Linked DNA regions of Lepisosteus oculatus. The protein of the gene in region 1 purifies or fractionates together with the protein of each later gene. This does not show direct contact. Links are inferred from orthologs where the notes say so. Each region holds a gene or a part of one and is shown in the gene's direction. Other genes may lie near its edges.

Evidence for each region.
Region 2: the proteins of hdac5 (region 1) and prkd1 purify together in Homo sapiens (affinity purification with western blotting; 4 studies listed by BioGRID, with this or other methods). This does not show direct contact. The link is inferred for Lepisosteus oculatus from reciprocal best matches to the Homo sapiens genes HDAC5 and PRKD1.

The regions. Positions count from the first base shown.
Region 1 is NC_090723.1:7,408,859-7,419,724, reverse strand, and holds the start of hdac5 (histone deacetylase 5), read left to right. Parts: upstream 1-5,775; 5' UTR 5,776-5,791; coding exon 5,792-5,974; intron 5,975-10,866. Other genes in the region: tut1 (speckle targeted PIP5K1A-regulated poly(A) polymerase), read right to left, coding at 521-730, 1,331-1,521, 1,876-1,954. UniProt on the Homo sapiens protein: Responsible for the deacetylation of lysine residues on the N-terminal part of the core histones (H2A, H2B, H3 and H4).
Region 2 is NC_090703.1:5,746,524-5,757,272, forward strand, and holds the start of prkd1 (serine/threonine-protein kinase D1), read left to right. Parts: upstream 1-6,663; 5' UTR 6,664-7,170; coding exon 7,171-7,335; intron 7,336-10,749.

The DNA.
Region 1 (10,866 bases):
GACATATCCCTTCTGTGGAAAAGAACAGTCACTTGGTCAAAAGCCAGTGAGTAGAATATCTGGAATATATACAGAACATAGTCAAACCTAAATTGGAAAACTGAAGCACTAATAATTGAGTTAAACAAGCTTTGGAATAACAGTCTATCAGCATCACTTGTGAAATTGAAGAGAAAGTGCCTGGTGAAATCCAACGCAAAAAAACAGTTAATCTAAATGCAAGAGGTTTAGCATTTTTTTCCAACCAGAAAACTGCATTGGTAAAAGGTACATCATGTGATAAAAAAAGAACACCAAACATGTGTAACCCAACATATAATTGAGCAGCAAAAAAGACTTGTTTCAGACACTGGTACCTATAGATAGCACTATACTGTAGATCCTTTTAGATCAATCATGTTAAGGTGGCCTGATGCAGAATCCAGCTGAGACATGAAGAGCTCAGACAGTGCGAATAAACAAAAGCTCCAGCAGGACTGGAACCCGGCTGGTATGCAAGGAGAGAGAGAGAGAGACTCACAGAATTGGCCTGACAGAGGGCATGGGACAGAAGTTCGGGGTTCATCGAGGGGCTCTTGGTGACGTCCTGCTTCCGTTTGGGGACAAACTTGAACTCCTTGCTCTCCCTTTGCTTGATGCGCAGCCTCTGGCCCTCCATGCTGTGCTGGGGCTGAGACAGGGCTGCCTGCTGGCCCTGCTTGTCGCTGAACTCCACGATGGCATAGACACCCTGGGAGACACAGTTGGAGAGAAACAACAACCCACGTCCATACCTGGTCAGTCCCACACTCGACTCTCGGTTGTCCTAGAAACAGATTCTTCCCTCGGCCTTGCATTCCATGCCCTTTGCTTGGACATGAACTAACCCGTTACTAGACTTATGCTTTTTGCACATCTCTTGTTTTGTTCAGATGATACTCCTGCTTTCAGCAGATACCTGTAAAGGATATTTCTTTTGCCTGCATGACATCATTGTAATAACTTCTATTTAAACTGACATGTTAAGTGATGACTAGTTAGTTAATAATAATTCCTCACACTTTTATAGCGCTTTTTTTGGACACCCCACTCAAAGCACTCCCCTCCACCACCACCAATGTGCAGCCCCCACCTGGATGATGTGACGGCAGCCATAGAGCACCAGTACACTCCCCAGTACAGCCCTCAGTGGGGAGGAGAACAGAGCGATGAGGCCAGTTCAGAGATGGGGATTATTAGGAGGCCTTGACTGGCTAGGATGCCAGGGTAACACCCCTACTCTTTTCCAGAAACACCCTGGGATTTTGTCATGACCGCAGAGAGTCAGGATATTATATTTACAAAAACGCACCTTGTCCTTATCCATGATGACTTCGGACACGGGTCCGAAGCGTTGGAGATATTCCATGATCTGCTGCTGCGACGTCCCCTTTTGGAACCCGCTGACGAACACGCTGTTCTCCACCTGGGTCCGGCGAGTGTCCCGGACGGCGCACAGGTTCCGATGTTTACGGCCCTTCAGGTGGTCCTGAAGGCTTGTCCCTGCATAACCACACACGTTACACTCTAGATAAGCAGAAACGTGTGCAGATACAAACGAAACAGGAGCCTTGCGCCGAAACAAACACGGGCATGCATTTCAAACACACGGACGTGCATTAAAAAGGCTAAAGAAAGAGGAAAGCACGTACTGCCCAGTGTTACTGAAAACGCAGGACCAATACAGCCGCTTACTTTTATCATACACGGGCTGTGAGATTCCTTCGCAGCCATAAAACATTTTTTGAATCTATTCGCCTTAACAAAAATGAAATAAACTCTGTTTCTCAAACAATCATGCCACTGCTGTAAACTGCTCTGTAAGTAATGGTGCTGCGCAAACTTGACAAAACTTACTGTTTGGTACACTGACATCACACAAGTTGCAATGGAACCCTCCTTTCGGAACAGGCTGGATATCTGTATCTAACTCCATCTCGATCAAAAGCAAAATATAACAGAAATACGCTTAATCTCTTAACTAAATAAGGATTAAATTAAATCTCCCTCCCTTCCACGCACTCTCCCCTGCCTCATCCCTCCCATCATTTCGCCCCGGTATGGCAACAAAGATAGGAACTTTTAGTTCCGGAGGAACAAGAAGTCCACACGCGGAATTTGCAGAGTCCCACCGTACGAGGGAGACAAAGCTTTATAAAACCCAGCAATTCTCAGGAAATCTCACTGATGTTTTACATCTGCATGTTTTCCGTCTCACATGCACGGTGTATAACGAACAAAAAGCACTAACATATAAATACCACACAAAACAGTTTTATATACATATCACTGCGTCCTATCTGATCAGTTAAAGCTTTTTAAAAGAAAAAAAAACTCTACATTTTAAACAGCAATTTCAGGAGATCGCTAATGATAAAGAAATGTTTGCTCTTGTGTTTTTCTCCTTGTCTTGTACCATTAACATTTTATAAACATTATTGTTGTACAGAGGGGTGGCGGACTTTTTTTGTGTGATATCCAGGCACCAGCATCTCCGTGTAACGCAAACCACACTCTTTGTTTTCAAAGATACACCGGGAGGCGTCGTGGATCTGATACAAAATGGAAAAGAAAGCTCTTCGATTCCAAAGACAATTTCCTGTCATATAAGTAGTTGTGACTTTTTCTTCTTTGTGTGGGATCTATTTTTTCTCATTAAATGCTGCGAAGGGGGGAGATGGGGGGTTGACATTTAGATTTGGCTGTAGAAATCTGACTCACTTGTATGTGAGTCATCCCTCACTTACGAATATAGCGCCTCCTCCCTCTGTTTGAGTCGGAAGTGTCCGCCGATGCAGACAATTTAGCCTCGACCCCGAGCAGTAGGCTTCGTGCCAAAGCCAGACATTAGATAATCATGAAATATACCATTTTCATTTTTGACATATAACATTTTCATATCATTGCTTTCTGATAATCCTTTACTTCTAAAATCGATCAAACAAAAACATTTTGGGGGGGCTAAGTTAGACAAGGTGCAGAGTATTACGAACAGGCAGCAAAAAAACATTAAATACTGTACCAAGTAGGGACATTAAGTTTGAAAAAGCTGCTTTGTGGAAAAAAAGGAATGTGTAAATGTTGACACGCCATTTTCATCTTCCAGACAAAGTTGGAAAGCAATACAAATCAAGGAGAATCTCATTATATATGTTAAATTAAAATTAAGAGATATCATTGCTAAAATTGTCACTAAGTTACAAAAGAGAGAGCTATTTTACAGTGTTCTCAAGATGTGGGAAACTGAAAAAAGCTTCTCGTCCTTTTACCGAGGTTAGAGGATCGATGAGCTACGAACTACCAGACGTGTTAGATTTATGAATGGGCTCCTCTGGTTTCAGACCGTTCCTAACGCTGTAAAGTGGGTTTGGTGATTTGACTACTCTCAAGGACACTCGGGGTTAATAACTTCGTGATTTTTGTTAAAGTGGAGCACAGGCTGAGTTCACACCAGACACAATTAAGTTATAGGATTAAGATCAACAAAAACAAAAGAGTTTATTAGCAAAATATATAGTTCATTTTCCATCTCTCTTTGGACATAATTAAGACGGCAACACTTGCAGAAGTCTAGGTCATTTATCGTCTTGGGCTGCTACTCTTCTTTGTTTCAATACATAGAGCAGACGTCCGCAACGAGTCGAAGGAACGACAGATATCTTCATCTGCTTCCAAAGCACGAGAGCGCTACCGCCGGCATGAAAAGCGCCGCATCGCCATGGAGACGGGTCCTCATCCCTGACTCGCCGGCTGCTGTCCGGGAGCGCTGTGGGTGAGGGGACTGAGGCGGGGTCATTCATCTCGGCCAGCCTGCCACAGAGACTGGCATAGGAAAACCACGCTAATGGGTGAAAACCATTAGTATGTGCGAGAGAAACAATTTACGGGCATCGTGCAGGACGCTTTTTCGTCGAATGGAGCAGAGAGTGTCGAGACGCTTTTGCGTGCACAACAGGGTGAAATGCATTTTAATAATGGAAAAACTTTCCCCCCGCACTGACCTAACGCCCTGTTTTCTGCCACTATATCGAGTTAGAGGGTTGAATTGTAGCTACGCTCACGGAAGATGTTGAAGTGATCAGCGTGAAGGCGCTTTTGAGATAGTTTTCACCGCGAAACTTTGGGTTGCAGAATTGTGTAAGAAGACTGAATCTACTCCGGTGATCAGACTTATTATTTAAATAAACGGTTTTAGAAAGATTAATAATTTGATTTGTCTTAGCACATAATTCGTATCCCATATCCACGTCCTTTGATACTGCCAGAGGAAAAAAAATATTCATGTAATTGTCTTTTTTTTCAGTTATGTATCTACCTTAATGTTCTTTTCGATTTTCTCCTAAAAGGAGGCTTTGACGTCACAAAGCTGCCGTGACTCATTCTTTTGAAGAGCAGGGATGACGTCACCGCATCCCCGCAGGAGTATTGAGCTGTGTTGAATGAGGAAGCTGATGGAGAGCTTGTCAAGGCCCTTTTAACAGCCGCATGATGGGAACACGTGTTGCGTGTCTCTGTCCGCGCAGGCAAGGGCTCGCGGTGTTGCACAACGGTACTTAGAATGCCAGTCATGCTCCCGGCCCCGGGTAACCATGGCAACAAGCATCAAGCTGGAGAACGCATAGTGATGGCACCAATGCTTTCTCTCGGCCTCTGTCCTTTATCATTATGTCTCCATTCCCGAACTTATGTTCACAACTCCCTCCTTTCCCTCTCCCCCCCCAAACTTGTGTCGGCGGCGCGTCGTTTTCCGGCTCGGGATTCGTCGCCCGCTCCTCGGTACTTTTCATAATAAGAGAGCTCCGTGTCTCGAGGGGTCTCCGGGCCGCGGCTCGAGACTCTCAGTGAGACGTGAGACACAACGGGGGGACCGTCTGCACGGACAGGAGCTCGGCAGACTTTATAACTACAGGCGAGCATCTCAGCCACTTCGCTCCGATTGACATGACTAACAAATGCTGTCGTGGGCTTATGTCCAACCATGCAGCCGACAGAAACGCTCCAAAGTTTAGCAAGGTGGGAACCCTTTGACCTGGACCGGCCTGTGACTCGTGGCCGGGAGCATTGGAGTAGATTTAATTGCATGACTCTGAAAGTAGTCCATCCCTGACCTCGAATCACAGCATATCCCCACACAGATCCTCGGGTACTGGCGTGAACTCGCACAACTTCTAAGCACAAGGTCTAAAGCTCGGAAAAAAACTCAAACTACTGCAACCGGGCTCATCATGTTTCTACTGTTCTAACAAGTGCGGATGAGGCTAATGTCAGCGGGAAACGCTGAAAAAGAGATAGTGGATCGTGCCCGTTGTAAATCAGAAACACTGCGAGAACATATATTTAGCGCGCCTTGTGACGCATAAAATATGCTCACTCATTTCCACCCAAAACCCATTTCCATTTCCACAAAAAAAAGAGAACGTGCATCTGGTAAACGACAGACAACTGCCTTCAATGCAGCGCTACAATCGTGGAAATATATATTTTACTAGACGAGCATGAATCGGTGGTAACGTTCTCTCCGAACTTCAAAAGCCGCAGAGGTCTGCATCCGCGCCTGTGCCGAAACGCCGTGTCAACAGCGCAACATTTCGCTGTGTCAGACGTTGACTGGGGAGACAGACCACACGTCAGGAGCGCCAGTCGACGCGAGGTCTGCCACCATACTCAGGTGTGGGTTATCTTCCCACTGTAGGTTATTCAGTGGTTGCAGAGTCTATTTTTAGCACGCGGCCGGGGGGGGGGGGGGTCACGTGACGGGGGAGTGACGTCACGAATGTTGTTGTTGGTGGAGGAGCTGCCAATATGGAGGAAAGAGAGCTGTGACGGGAAAAAAAATACACATACATTTCTTTTTTTTTTTACCCCCCCAAAAAATACACACCAGCTAGCGCATCCGCCGTCGAAGATCCGGACATCTCCTACAGAAAGGCAAACGGGATATCTCCTTGATCATCAGGTAAAGATAGTTTGTTTACTGACACTCATTTTTTTCGGACCGTTCTTTTCAATTGCGAGTACTCGTAACTAAGCGGGTCGGTGCTACAAAAAAATGCATTTATTCAAGAAATGTATCATTTAAGCTTTCACGGCCGCAGCGAGACCACGGTTTGTGAGTATTAACAAGCATTCGGGGGGGGGGGGGACGCGTTTTCCCAGGTGCTGCCGACAGCGATATACACGGATAAAGATAACGATTTGTTACAAAAACAGCGGTCATTTCCTTCTCCAGAATTAGTGCAATTTTTTAAAAGAATTGTGGTAGTGCGCTAAATACGACGCGGTGGGCAGTGCGGTGGTCATTTCTTCGAATGCCGAGTGACTCGTATTTGTATCGGCGGCGATGGCAAAAAGTTGAAGAAATATTCGACCGAGACCCTCGAAAGTCTAAGCAAGGAAATGAATTGACTGTAAATATGTTTTTTTTTTAAGAACTAGTGAGAAAGGTGGACCAAATAAGTCCACCAGATAAGTGAGCAAGTTGCTGTGAGACCGGGCTGTGGTTAAAGATGTTGAGATGATGTTTGTCATGGGTACATAAATCCGAGTTCTCTGTGCAGTGTCTTCATCGAAGTGTTAACACTTTTTCCAGTTGCTGGGTGTTAGAGAAACGACCAGAAACCGGTGGATGCAAATAATATTTCTGCCTTCCTTGTCTCGTTCCTGCAGAACGAGCATGTTATCCGCATGATATGTGGATTTTTTTTTATTTTCAAGTGTCAGTATCTGTTTGTCTCAGTTGTTGCGGTAATTTTTAGATCTCTGGATTGCCAGACGTGACCGGGGGGGTCGTGCATGCGTTAGGAGCTCAGAGCCAGCTCGCAGAAGATGAATTGAGGGGGTTAGCCATATTCATCCATTCTGGGAAAACAGAACATGTAAACTCCACACGCAAGGATCCGAAGTCCAGACTCAAACCCAAGATCTAAAGACCACCTACACCTGCAAGATGCCCACTCCCGGCAGTTTTTAAGCATCATCTATTAAAATCATTTACGACACTCCTGTATGCAAAAACACAGCAAAATATATGTTTATGTAGAGGTCACTGAAACAAATCCGCTTCAAGGAAATGTATCTATCTCTTTTGAAATTTGAATCTCCGAGGTTTTTTTTTAAGCACCGATTTTCTGACCAAGGTCTCACAAAGACTTCTGCACTTGAGAACGAGGGGAGTACAAAGCCAGTGTCATTTAGAAGAATCTGTTCTGGGCAGTATGAAAGCAGGATGGTGGTGGACACGCTGTGCTGCTGTTTTCTTTAAACTGACAGGGGAATATTTTGGAAGATATGGCGTCGCAGAAGTTCGTTACCTCTAGTGTGCCTGGTTTGTGTTTTCTGGACACTCAGCAAATCCTGCATAAACACAGGTCTCAGGCAAGCTCGGTATCATTGTAACTGTGAATTTCAGAGGCACCAAAAAAATAGCCACTTGTGTATTTACAGCCGTGTATTTTTGTATTTATTCACATATTAACTCAGTCACTGATTCAAAATGAAGGAGTCCTAAATGAAACAGACGATCAGCTACATCCAGTGTTTAAAATAGCCCTTGAGATTTGTGGGAGAGTGCAGATTTGCTTAGGAGCACCTAGAACAATCTCTTACTGTATATTCTGCTTCCGACAGAACAATAAATTGTCATCTCCACTGAAAATGCCTTTTATTGACCTCCAGAATTTTTAAAACTGACATGCTGTGTGTTTGGAATTGAGAAGTGTACCTGCTGTAGTGTTAGCTATGACCTTAAATAATATTATACCTCTGTACAGAATGAGCCTAGTTGTGTCTGTGTTCCTGCTTTCCATGTCCATGTTGACACAGGATGGTTCTGTTAGTTTCATAGTAACATTTCATTCTGCTCAAAAGATGCTGCTCAAAAAAAGGAAGAAGAATTTCTATTTGAGCGCAAAGGACTCTGTAAGAGGTCAGTCTAGGATTCTGCTCTGAGATCAGTTTTTTTGCCTCCTGTCCTTTGGAAGCTGCTGTGCCTCTTCCTGCTTTATTCAGAAAATAAAGAAAAGAGATTTCAAATCCTGGTAATCCAATTGGTGTTTTATTGGATTTGCAGTTGTGTTACACTACAGATGGAAAGAAGTCAGGCATTCGCAAGGCAGAGGTTAAATTACTTTATAGCATGTTTTTGATTATTTTTTTCGGATGCCCGTCATCTGCAGGGAGCGAAACACACTGTGCTACGTGATTATTTGTCTGCATAGATCTTTTTATTCTGCCTCTCCTGCGATTACTTGGTAACTTGATTTTAAGCACGTGTCCTGTGTTGTGTTGACTGCTATTGTACTGATATTTTTCAGCAGTATAATCTCCCAGGATCCCTCTGTAAACAGGACCTGCGTCTCAGTGGGTTAACCTTCCTAGTTCAAAACATAGATCAGCACAGGTCTCTCTCACTGGCGCTGGTGTGAGACTGGTGCGTACAGAGATGAAAAAACACTCGCATAGCTGGGGAGAGACGTTCCTGGTTTAACAAGTTGCACGCTCTTGTATATAACCCTGTAACTGTTCGTGTTTCATGATGATCATATTTTGAGCATATTATTCTAGGTAGAAATGGATTTCACATTGTTTATCTACATTGTCAATGCACTTGTGCACAAGCCAGCCACTTCTAGAAACCTGAAATTTCTGTGTATGTGGATCACGGTGCTATGCAGTGGGAGCCTTAATTTCATCTCTGCAGGTACTGTAGGCTCTATCTCGGGTTTTTGTGTACACAAGAGAGCAATAAAAATGTTGTATTCTTGTCAGTGTTTATGTCCACTCTGCAATCAGATCTCTCTGCTCCACGGTACAGAATACACCGCAGACAGATGCACTGATCAGATGCTCTGACGTCTGTATATGTGTGACTTAAAAGTCAAAGGCTGCAGAAGTTAATATGCTGATCGGCCTTGAGATCACGCATTTATGTTTTCTCCTGCTTAGAAAACAAATTGGGCAGTTGTCTAGTAACCACACTATCGCTGGAGAAGACAGCTGCTGGAACATCTCAGGGTGAAACAGCAGTTGATTCAGTGGCTTGCATTTGCAAAGGCATCTGAAAATGTTTAAACTGAATAATGAAATTAGCCATTTTCTTTGTAAATGGCAGGATGGCCTTGTAGTTCTAAGATAGCACAGGCATGTCAAATCCATTGATATATTTGTGTGTGGATTCTCAATGGGAAGGCACAGTGGTACAGTGTTCAGTTCCAGACCTGGGGTGCTATCCGTGTGGAGTTTGTATGTTTTCCCCATGTTTGTGTGGGTTTCCTCCCACAGTCCAAAGACATGCGGGTAGGTTAACTGACTTCTGGGAAAATCGACCCTGATGTGAGTGTGTGTGTGTCTGTGTGCCCTGTGATGGACTGCCATCCAGTCTAGGGTGTACCCTGCCTTGTGCACGTTGCTTGCCTGGATGATCGGATTCACAGTGTAAATGTCTTTTGGCTGTTGGTGGTGATGTCTTTCTGTATATTTTTGTGAAGCACTGCTTATTGCAAAAGGCCAATTGTATTTTAAGTTAGAAAGGAATATCTACTAATACAGACCCATCCCTTTAAACGGAGGGGCATGATCGCATATCAGGACCTGTTGTTTTTATTTAGTAATTAGAATCAATTCACTTCGTTTTTAAAGCATGGCTGGCAGTCTAACATTGTGGTCGGAGTAGAATGGTGTCTTTTTTTTTTGTTTTGGAAGCAAGGCTGCTGTTTCGAGCTGTTCGATGCCCCGCAGATTAAGGAGTAGCTAAACAGCGCAGACTCCCAGCCATCTCACTTGATTTCATTTTGGCAGAGACGCAGCACAGCCCGCTGTGGCTCCCAGTCATGTTTGGAGGCTTTGCGAGGGGAAACTCTCTCGATGAGGCCCAGTGGGGTGGCTGGGAAGAACGGACCAAGTGATGAGTGCAGAACCTTCAACCATCTTGGGACAGCCTGTCTGGAGCAGCACGCAGAACACAGCAGGCTGTGTGTGTGCTTGCATGCCTGTTGTTCTTTAGAAGAAATGCGAAGGGAGCTCAGACATCTTTCTCTCCCAGCTGGTGTGAAGCCCCGCGGCGAGGTTGAAGGGAAAGCCTCTGGGGGGCTAGTGGCTTGCAGGGTGCTTGCGTCCTGCCCAGCTAGAAAGCAGCGTGCAGCGAGTTGTCTGTCTGCAGAGGCCCGGGCAGTGGGGCGGCACGGTGCTGCCATTTGGCGGCCTGGCCGCGCCAGTCTCCCAGATTTGGAGTTCGGCCGGGAAAGGAGTAAAATCTTCAGGGCAGCGGAAAGGCAGGCACTGTTCTTCCGATTGCAGGGGAATCAAGTCAACAGAAACTCTGGGCGAAAAAAACCCCAACAAGCCCCAGCAGCAGTCTTGCCCTGTTCCTGTCCGCCAAGGCCAGGATAATGTCAGCCCGTCGAGGCGTTCCTTACTGAGAGAGAGCGCAGCTGGTGGCAGCTCTCCATGAGGCCAGGACAGTCACCTGCAGCAAGGGACATGCCTGGGCTTCGTGGCTGGAGTGAGGAGTCAATGACTGGATTTATTTTGGGCCTAATAAGTAGCGTCAACTGGCCAGCAGCCACATCGCCCTGCAGCTCACAGCATGCAGCCCCGCTGAAGCTCAGTACCTGGATGGGAGGCTCCTGGGAAGCTATGGTTGCTGCTGGAAGAGCTGTTAGTGGGACCAGCAGGAGGTGCCCACCCTGCGGTCTGTGTGGGTCCTAATGCCCAGGTATAGTGGTGGGGACACTATACTGTAGTGGGTGCCGTCTTTCAGATGAGATGTTAAACCGAGGTCCTGACTCTCTGTGGGCATTTAAGATCCCCGGACATTTCTCGAGAAGAGGAGGGAGTTATCCCGGTGTCCGG
Region 2 (10,749 bases), on another chromosome or scaffold:
GAGTTTATTGACCCTATTTACATCTCTTGCCATGATGCTGCTGCCCCAGCACACAACAGCGTAGAAGATGGCCGCTGCCACCACTGATTAATAAAAAATGTGTAGCAGTGTTCCACACACACCAAAGGACCTGAGCCTCCTAAGAAAATAGAGTCGGCTCTGACCTTTCTTGTACAGGGCGTCAGTATTAACAGTCCACTCCAGCTTATCATCCAGGTGTACCCTTAAGTACTAGTAGGACTGCACCACCTCTATGTCCTCACCCTGGATGGAAACAGGGGTCAGCGGAGACTTATTCCTCCAAAAGTCCATGACTATTTCTTTAGTCTTGATGGTGTTGAGCTGGAGATGGTTAAGATGACACCACTCCACAAAGCTGGTAATCAAGCTCCTATATTCCTCCTCCCTCCATTCCCTAATACACCCCACAATTGCAGAGTCATCCGAAAACTTCTGTAGACGACATGCCTCAGAATTGTACTTGAAGTCAGAGGTGTAAAAGGTGAACAGGAATGGAACAAGGACAGTCCCCTGTGGAGCCCCAGTACTGCTAACAACCTGTTTGGACACACAGCTTTTTAGTCGTACATACTGTGTCCTGCAGGTGAGATAGTCTATAATCCAGGACACCAGGGGAGTGTCCACCTGTGCCGGCATTTGCTTATCTCTCAGCAATGGGGGATGGATGGTGTTAAAGGCACTGGAGAAGTCAAAGAACATAACTCTCACAGTGCTCCCTGTCTTCTCCAGGTGAGAGTTAGCTCTATGTAGCAGATAGATGACTGCATCCTCCACTCCCAAGTGTGACCTGTAGGCAGGGGGTCCAGTGCTGTACTCACCTTAGTACAGCATAGTGCTATATTGGCTATATTAGATGAGTTTGCCAGAACTGCCCTTTAATGTCAGCCTTCTGAACGCTTAGTTCCTACCACCACGCTCACATCAGAGCTATGCCATTACGGAACCAAATTAGATCCTAGGAGTCTTCCAGACAAAAAAAGACCATGGATTAACACGTTGCTCAATTGAACTGAATAAACCACAAACCTTCAGACAAAGCTGCTCTGTTACCTCTAAAACTTCCTCCAGTATATTTTCATATTTGGTGAACTATCTCTAAAAAGGATCTGACCCCCCAACAATATTACAATGCACACGGAAGGAGACAATTCAAACACAACATTTGAACATCTCCCATAGATAACGTGACAATGACCCTGTATATTTACATACAGGAACGACTTTATGGACAGCTCTTTTCTAATGGTTATGGTATTTATCAAATTATGTTTCATGAACAATCTGCTGTACAGAAGTTCCTGCAATACACATGGTATCATGCTGAGAGTCTCCTTGCATTTAAATGCATATTTTACTTGCAAAGGTAAATGGAAGAGCCAGGATCTAGCTTTTAATTTGGAATTATGATGTTTCTTCACGTTTAACAAGAAACAACACCAAAAATGCTAACTTTTATTAACTCTATGCTTTTAACCCTTTAATATCTAATACTAATAACACCTCTGTTGAGAAACAAAATCACTTGCTATTCTTAATTAAATAAAACATACAGAAACAGTCAGTTTGTGACAATAACTGACACATGCTAAAGTTACTATTAAACAAACACACAAACACCGAATATTTACTCTGTAAAGTGTAAGCTGCATGCAAAGTGTCACGTAGGCACATGGCAGAGGTGAATAATTTTCACATTTTGACTTGACATTTGAACTGTGAAAATGCTGAGCTGGAATTGGAAATGAAAAGAGACGATGGATATGTTTTTCAACAATTCCCCATTTCCATCTGATTTCAGGGGTTTTGTATTTTAAAATATATATATATATTACACTATTGCACCAATTGATCATTTAAGGCATCACATAAATAAACTGCAAGACATATTATTCTGTATTACACCACTTTAAAAGTGTCAATGCTTTGGATCATATACAGTACAAACATACAGTATAGTACCACATTTGACTGAATATCTGCTTCCATTATAGATATTTTTACTTTTAGGTTTTATACTCTTTTAGTTTTTCTGGTGATGTTTCAAACTGTTTTTAACACTCCTCTGCCCTCGAAACTTGAATCCGATCACCAGACTCATAAGCATGTCTAATGAGGAAACCAGTTACAGCTCCCTCTGCAAAATGGGTCAAGTGGTCAGGAAGGTAATTATTATTATACAAAAACATTATCCAATTGATTAAATAATTAATTGTATTTCTAAACGGGTTTTCATCCCCTTGATCCCAAAATTGCTTTATATAGAGGTGTGGCCTCACTTCATCCACCATTGAATACAGGTACGCCCCTGGCCGGTACTGAATGTACTGGCAGGCCTGCTACAGTACTACTGGCTTGGATGGTAGGCTGGTCCACCAGAAGCCATGCACATCAGAGATTTATTTCTAATCAAGACACACACAACCTCTAGACAATCGATAATAAAGAATGTGGGTTTTTTTACAGCTACGAACGCTGCCACCGCACACGGGAAAGACTGAGGAGGTGCTGTAGTGGACAGACTCCTCCATCCTGCCCACCTTCGAGCCGCTCATTGAGAACCACATCACAGGGAGCACAGCAGGCTGAGAACTGATTGGAAAGGCACATCCCACGCCCAAGGCACTGCCAGCCTGCAAGCCACGAGGGTTGCTGTGACACTGGTCGAGAAGTACCAGCTGGTTCTCGGCAGCCCTCAGAAGATGGTTGCCGCTGTTTGAGGAGTCCCAATGAGGCTGGCATTACAGCCACCTGGTGATGTCACCAGGCTCTCTCTCACCTGGATCACAGAGCTCAGCCTGTCTTGATGGACCCCCTGTCTTGTGCTTTACCCTGGGAGAGGTGGGGCTAAAGAAAGTGCTTCTCTAGAATGGTGGATATTAACAAAGTATAAGGATGAAATAAAATGCTAAATAAATAACAAAAAATATAAATCTCATGACCATGAAGTAATGAACCTGGTTGGTTGTATTTTCTAAACCTTTTAATTATATACGTCAAAAATCCTTCTCTTCAATGGTGTGAGTTTGTATGTACACTGTATATACAGAAATTCAAATATAATGGGTCTCAGGGGTTGTCCTTCAGATGATGACTGTAATCAAGAGAAAAAGCTATACTTGCATTGCTGTTACAGAATAGCTCATCTCAGGAGGCTCTCCTAGTGGAAATTTAACTGGGCCTAGCACAGTAATTCATTATTTAATCAGAAGGTTTTCAGTGCCGAAGTGTAATTCCTAGGGATAAACAGTATTTGTCTTAATCACCGCAGGGGAATTTTTTGATGAAACTGGGAATCTTGTGGTGTTCCTCTATGAATTTATTGAATAGATTCTCAGGTCTATTAAAAAAAAAAACAACTGAAAAACTTAAGTTAGTTTATTTTGCCAGCTCATACAATTAGCATAAGTTAAATGACTCGGTCACAGTAGTACTGTGCTGCCGAGGTTTGTGTCTGACAAGGTCATACAGAGAGTGTGTAGGCGGACAGGGACCTGAATGGCTAAGGAGTTTGAATAAGAGACCATCGCTTATGGTTACATCCAAGGATTGTTATTTGTAAGAGTTGCCCTGCAGCTCTGTAATGCTGTTTTTCTGCTTCATTTCCTTTTGGCTGGGTGATATGTCTGCATTTATTGAGCAGTTCATCTGGAAGCATAGGAGGCAGGAAACGCCGCCTGTGCGCGCGCGCACACACACACACACGCACACACCAAATAAAAGCTGCTAAACGAATTGAAAAGATTTGTAATAGTACACTCTCTCCTGCTATTGTAGGGGCCCTGCACACAATAACCCAAGTAATTTGCTATCCATGTCTTTGGCCTACTTAAGGATGGCAGAATGGTATCCTAGCAATTAAACAGCATTTTCTTTTTAGACATTTCACCAAGCCCCCCATTTCAATCTCGTCAGAGTGAAAAGATGCGTGCACCATTCATCCTGCCTTTCAGGAGCTTTTCTGTGAGAAAGCGCTAACAAGAACAGAATGAACTGGCTTGTCAGATTTTCCCTGTGGCAGCACTTCGAGGATATTTTCTGGGAGTGAAACTATTAATGACTACATCTGTTCATGGAGTACAAGCAGCATGTATCTTTACTAGGACCGGTGTTTCTAGATGTATTTTGGGAAAGCAAAACACACGCAGAAGCAACCCCAAAGCCTACCTTTCAAAAACACACACACACAAAAGAAAAATCAAGGGGGAATTCCCTTTAAAATATAAACTGTGTTATACATGTGGTCTTTAGCACTCTACAGCTTTCGACAATGGCTTATTAACAGTGAAGAAAAAAAGTTGGCACATGGGTCAGGCCTACATTTCGAACAATACGAGAAAATGTTTTGAAATTATGCCACACTGACATGGGTGTCTGAATACACATAAAGCCGTGAACCGGCTATCTAAAACGTTAGGCCACCGACAACCCCAACATCCTCCACATGGTTACTGTCTGTGGGGTTATGATGGACCTGCAGATCTTGAACTGCCCTTTTATCTCAGTTCAGATCATTGTGATGGAATATTAAAAACTCCAGAGGGGTAAAGGCAGTGGGATGTCACATTAAAACAAAGAGTCATGACATACTGTCCTGTAAGTGCCTGAAGGCCAGTGGGAAAACTGGAGAGTTGCAATATAATTAAGGTGGTGTTCATCTGACACTTGCCACTCTTTACAAACATACAGCGCTTTCGATAACAGCTTTAAGAGATGGGAATGACAGTTGAAATCAAGAATCTGAAATTACCAGGGAAGATGTTGTTTCTGATATGGGCTTGCTGTTGTTTTTTCACAGAGACAAACTCAGGGTAAGGACAGGGGTATGGAAGTAGAGCACACCACTCCAATCAGTGCTGCAATTCTTCATCTACTACAGTAAGAAGCAAAGGTTTCTGAACTGTGGTCCCAGTTGTGTTATTTCACAAATTAAATTTTGACACTATCCTAGACAACACAAAGGATTCTTTATAAACGTGCGTTAATATACAGTATATATTGTGTACACTAAAGAGTAAAAGTACATAATTCATTGTAACAAACAGTATAAACATATTGTAAATACAGAGTAAACACGAGTAAAACTAACATAATTTGTGTTTTCAGGAAAACGAACCAGCAAAGAGCGCGCTATAATATTTATATTTTTCGGTTAGGAGATACTTTGAAACTCAGTATTTCAGATTTAGGAGACACGATCAATTGTACTCATGCATACTCATGAGATGCAAGCTACTCCAATTATTAGCAATTTTCCGAGTTTTACTGGGATTATTTTTCTGCTCAGACGGTGAAACAAACAAACAAACAAACAAAAAACAAACAGGCAAACAAACATGAAACCGACGTGTTGCTTGTGCTTAATGATTTACTCCCTTGGTAATAATTTATCAAATGAAAGCTGTTCATCAATTAAAACTCGCGATCAAAGTGGTTATGCAATTGTACTAATAACAAAGATAATGGAGAAGCCGCAGCATTTAAACGTGCGAAATTAAGCTAAGCTAATCAAGAACAAATAATTTCGTATTCAAATACTCTCTTTGTTGTTTATTTTCTTCAGAAAAGGTTTTGTAATTCTTATTGAAACGTTTAAAATGGTAATCAGGTTCTTGCAAATAAGTACTTCCCATAAAAAAAAATTTCGACGTGTTCCTCCAACAAAGATGTACAAGTGGACTCCAATTAAATAATAACACTACAGAAAGCACCTACAGCATATTGAACGTATTTATAGGAGGTTGGGGGGGGACTTTTAAGACCAATCTTGAAGTATTATAGGGTCACACGCTGATGTTTCTGGAATATGGGAAGAGATACTTTGGCTAATATAAATAATCTAATCATAAAAGTAAGGAAATGTTAATGATTGTTTCCCTAAGGTCAATCGCAGGACTACCAGGACCCATATCTATCACTGTATTATGGAACAACACTGTTTACTTTCACTTTGTGTCGAAATGATTACAATCTGATACAAAACTGGCTTTAACGCGGAATATCGGATTGTTATTTTTCTTCGCCTTCACTGAAAATACAATACAGAAATAAAATCGTGACTCTTGAATGACGTATTTTCTAAGAACACAGCCCGTTTCATTAGCTTAGTAAATATCGGGTTGTTATACAGTATTTGCGACAGGTGAGAAAGAACGATTTCCTCTGATAGACATAAGGTTTAATCAGTTGTATCCACACTTAATGCTTTCAACGCAATGTTCTGTATCTACTGTTTTCTGTCTTGTTGAACAACGAAATCTCTATGGTGCAAATCTTAACGGTTAAATGGCATCTTTTCAGCTTATTGTTTTACACTATCTTGTACATTCTAAGGAGTATTCCAGACTCAAAAAATACTCCTAAATGCAGCTATCCCTTCATGAGAACACGTTTAATTTGTAAACTTTTAAATTGTTTATTTAAAACAAACAAATACATAAAAAATACGTCTATTTAAACGTAAAAAAAAGGAGCGTTATGACTTAATTTCCCCAGGAAAACCGTCTTCTCGGGCATAAAAAAAATTAAACACTGATGAACTTTCTTTCCCCCCACCTTCAGTATAGTAGGTTGTGCCCCGGTGGATATACAGTATAAAACTTGTAATTATCCCTGTAGCGCAGGGAGTGAAACAACGCGCACTGACCGAAACTGGAGTGACAGCAGTGATGTGTGAAGAAGCGGCGCTTGAAACCCACCCGAATATTCGTGGCTGTAGTGACTACAAACATAACCCACGGTTCATTAGCACGGGGCAATAGTGAGGAGGCGGGCTCTGATCAGATCTGAACATTTCAACAGATCTGCCGACTAGCGGCTTCATCTTCGCCTTTCACTCTTCAAACAACTGACCGCTTTTCAGTACCTCTCACCGCTTCCCCGACTGCATCCTCTGTCGCGTTTTCCTCGCCATTTTCCTCCCCGGATAGGGAGAGGATTGAAAGTTTATCATCACTGTTGTAGTACCCCTATTTTTTTGTGTGTCTGTGTGGTGTGTGGGGGGAAAAAACAAGAACAAGAACAACAACAACAACAACAACAACAACAAAACAAAAGGCGAGCAAACATTTGAAAAGTTTTGACATTTAATTTTTTTTTTTTTAAGTTTCCCAGTTTCTAGTTTTTATCCTGTCGGACATCGGGTTGATTCTCATGAGTGTGCCTCCGGTGATTCGGCCGCCGAGCCCTCTCCCGGGGTCGCCAGGCATCTCTTTCCAAATTCAGATCGGGCTGAGCCGCGAATCGGTCCTGCTGGACTCCGGCGACTTCACCCTGTCGCACGTCAGGGAAATGGCATGCTCCATCGTCGACCAGAAGGTAAAACAAGACGTCGAGTTCCTTCTCTTCTTCCTCACTGAATGCCTGTTTTGTTTTGGTACTCGATGAGCAGTGGGGGAAAAAAAAAAAAAACACTGTCACACCGAGGAGTAAACTTGTGCCTAAACTTTTGTTTTCTCTTTTTTTCCCCCCCTGCATGTGTGAAAATTAACTGTTGCGCTGCTGGAGTGTGCTCTGGCTTAGGCGCCGTTCCCTTAGCGTGGAGGAGCTCAGTGACAGCTGCCGACACTCTGTTTGAATCATTGCGAAAAGATTGTGCCTGTTCTTCACACTATTTCGCATACTCACCGCAATGACACAATCGAGTTTATGTCGTTTTCTGGTTGCTTTTCTAACTACTTTTAAAATGTCTTTAAATAAAGACGCATGATTGAAGTTTATAGTTCCTATGGAACTGCTAATTCATTGCTTGGGAAGTGTGTGGGGGCAGCCCATTGATTTTCTTCCACGATCAATACATTAATTTTGTGGTAGAATGAATCAAGGCAAAAAGGGTTTTTTGTTGTTTTTTTGCACAACCCTGTACATGTATATACACACCAGCACATATTGCAGTTTTTCAGGCTGATTGATATGCCTGTGCTACAAAGCAGTACATTTTGAACTATTTTATATATCGTAAACAAAGGTCTTGAAGTATGTTAGTAAAATGGAAGCTGGGAGGTAAACAGTATTTGATATTGTCAAGGCAAACTGCCCTGTAAACAGATTCTAACAGCTACAACAGGCTGGATTGATCAACTTCATGGGGCTGAACTGCATGGTTTTCTCACTAGATGAGAAAAAGATACAAAGATGAGAAAAAAAGCATGATTTTCTTCACTGGATAATTAAACCTTTTATGCCAAACATGTAATAGCCAAAAGCACTGTTCATGTTTTTTGTAAATATTTAAATTGGAAGCCATTACTATTGCAGTTTTACACCAGTAGATATGATTCTAGGCTATCAATGCAAAAAACATACAAATGTGCATTGCATTTGCAGTTCCAGTTCCAGATGTGTTTCTGCTGCCAAATGCATTCTAGTAAACCAATATTACTGTCCTGGAACTGAAAAAGAAAATATCATTCTTTATCCAGATACATTTTGGAAGTATATTTTTGTCTTCGCATCCAGGATTGTTCCTGTCTGTCGCAGAGAGACACATGAGTAGTTAGTTACATTACCCCTGGCAACAGGGAGAACAACAGCCTGATCTGTAGAGGAACATAGGAAACTTATTTGTTTTCTGTAAACTTTTCAAATGGAGTTACTCTATTGTTTGTGGAAAATATTTCTTAAATGTTTGTAACTTCATTAAGCCTTCCTATCTGATGCCTCTATATGTTTTCTGCCATTAAAGGCAGGAAAAATACATTTTTAAAGCGACACACAATGTGTTTTTTCTTATTCAGATGCATTAATAAGATATTATCTCTGCATTTTGGGTTTCTAGCACTTTCTAAGTGATAGAAAGTTTCAGAGGTATTAGAGGGTATCCCTACAGCTGAATCCCTTTTTAAATTATTGTAACAAAACTTTGAACATGAGCTGTTTTCTGATTTTTTACAAGGTAAAATAATTATCATCAGCTAGAGAAAAGTAGTTCCGTTCAAAATCAACATGCTGGTTAAGCTCTGGTTCATTAATCTTTTCCAAGTCAAATAAAGTGTACGTAGAGAATAGAGAAGTCTGCTTAGTTCAGAAGTTTCTGAAGCACACTGATTAGTTCTTTTTAAATGAAGCGTAAAAAACATGAAAATACATATGTAAATAACAGTGGGTATCCTTTTATTAGTTAGAAATAAATCACAATATACTATGACAAATAAAATAATTTGCATTCAATTTAGTATTACCAATGAACAAAAGAGCAAAGAAAGGTTACAGATGATGTAGGGGCATTCTGCCTGCCTTGCTTGTTTGCTTCCTAGTAACTTAAAGATCTGAGATTTCTCTTAGTTTCAGCTACATCCTGGAAGTCAGTTCCAGACTCCCTCAGCTGTCTGCATTAAGAAGTATCTCCTGTTTTTGGTTTTAAATCTCCTTAAATTCAATTTTCACTTGTCTGCCTGGGTGCTTGTGTTACTGCTAATCTGAACAGGGTCCCCTGAGTTGACTTGGTCTATGTGTTCCAGGATTTTGAAAACTGGAATCAAGTCCCCATGCAATTTCTTATGCTTTAGAGTGAAAAGACTATCCCTTTTTCTCTGTCTGAAATTCCCTTCAGATCCGGAAAAAAACTGGTTTCTGTAGAGAGCAATATCTTTCTTGTAGTGTTATGACCAAAACTGGACACACTTATCCAATTGAGGCCTAATCAATTCATTGTACAATTTTAATACAACTTCCCTTGATTTAAAATCTAAACCATTTACAATCTAATCAAGCTCCGTGTTGTTCTGTTTTTGTATTATCTGTGAAATGGGCAGATTTACTCACTGTACCAGAGTCTAGATTATGGGTACAGATTAGGAGGAGTATCTGTCCAAGAACTGATCCTTGTGCTGCCTCACTCCAGATAGAAGTACAGTACCTTCTCTTTACAGTACTTTTTGTTTTCAGTTCTTAACTTAACTATTTATGTCCATGTGTAATCATTATTCCCAATTCCTGCAGCCTTATGGTAGATAGGTATTTCACATTGTACTTTATCGCAAGGTTTTTGAAAGTAAACATTATGATGTTATATTCACTGTGCTAGTTTTGTTGAAGAAATCAAATAGCTTATTTAGGCAAGATATGCTTCTTCTAAATTATTGATGATTATTTCTTCAAATTTCTAAATAATCTCCACCTTGTAATTCCAGGCACGGGCTGGCTGTCTTCCTGAACTGTTGTAAACCAGTTGTTCCTTTTAAGTTTTTGCCAATATATTCTCCTGATTTCGTATTCTATAGCTGCTCATTTGACAGGTTAACTATGACACCAACATGGAAATACCAAACATGAATTGAAATTGCTCACAGTTTTTTCCGTACAAAATGTTGAAACAGTTAGAAAATCGTCCTGTTTAATATCAACAACATCAGGAATGCCAGTAGCCTGAATGACCTTCATGCAGGACTGGAAAGTTCTAAGCTTTTGCTCAGTATTTTACAACTAGTTCCATTTACAGAAATATTCTAAATCATTAAGCACCGCAGTACTGTATATAAACTTTCTGTGCACTGTGTTGTAAGCCAAATAATACAGAACTATAAATACAGTACTGACACTTGCATTTTTTACAAGAATATCTAGCTGTTGAAGCAAATCTATTTAAAAAAAAGCATTTATAGCAGTATTAGTATCCTAACATTAACCATTTTAAGGAGATCAACAAAGTCCTGAAGGTGAACGCAGTACTGAACAATGCATACGTGTGTAGTGTGGTATGGTGTATGATAATAAGTAGTAATAATTAAATAA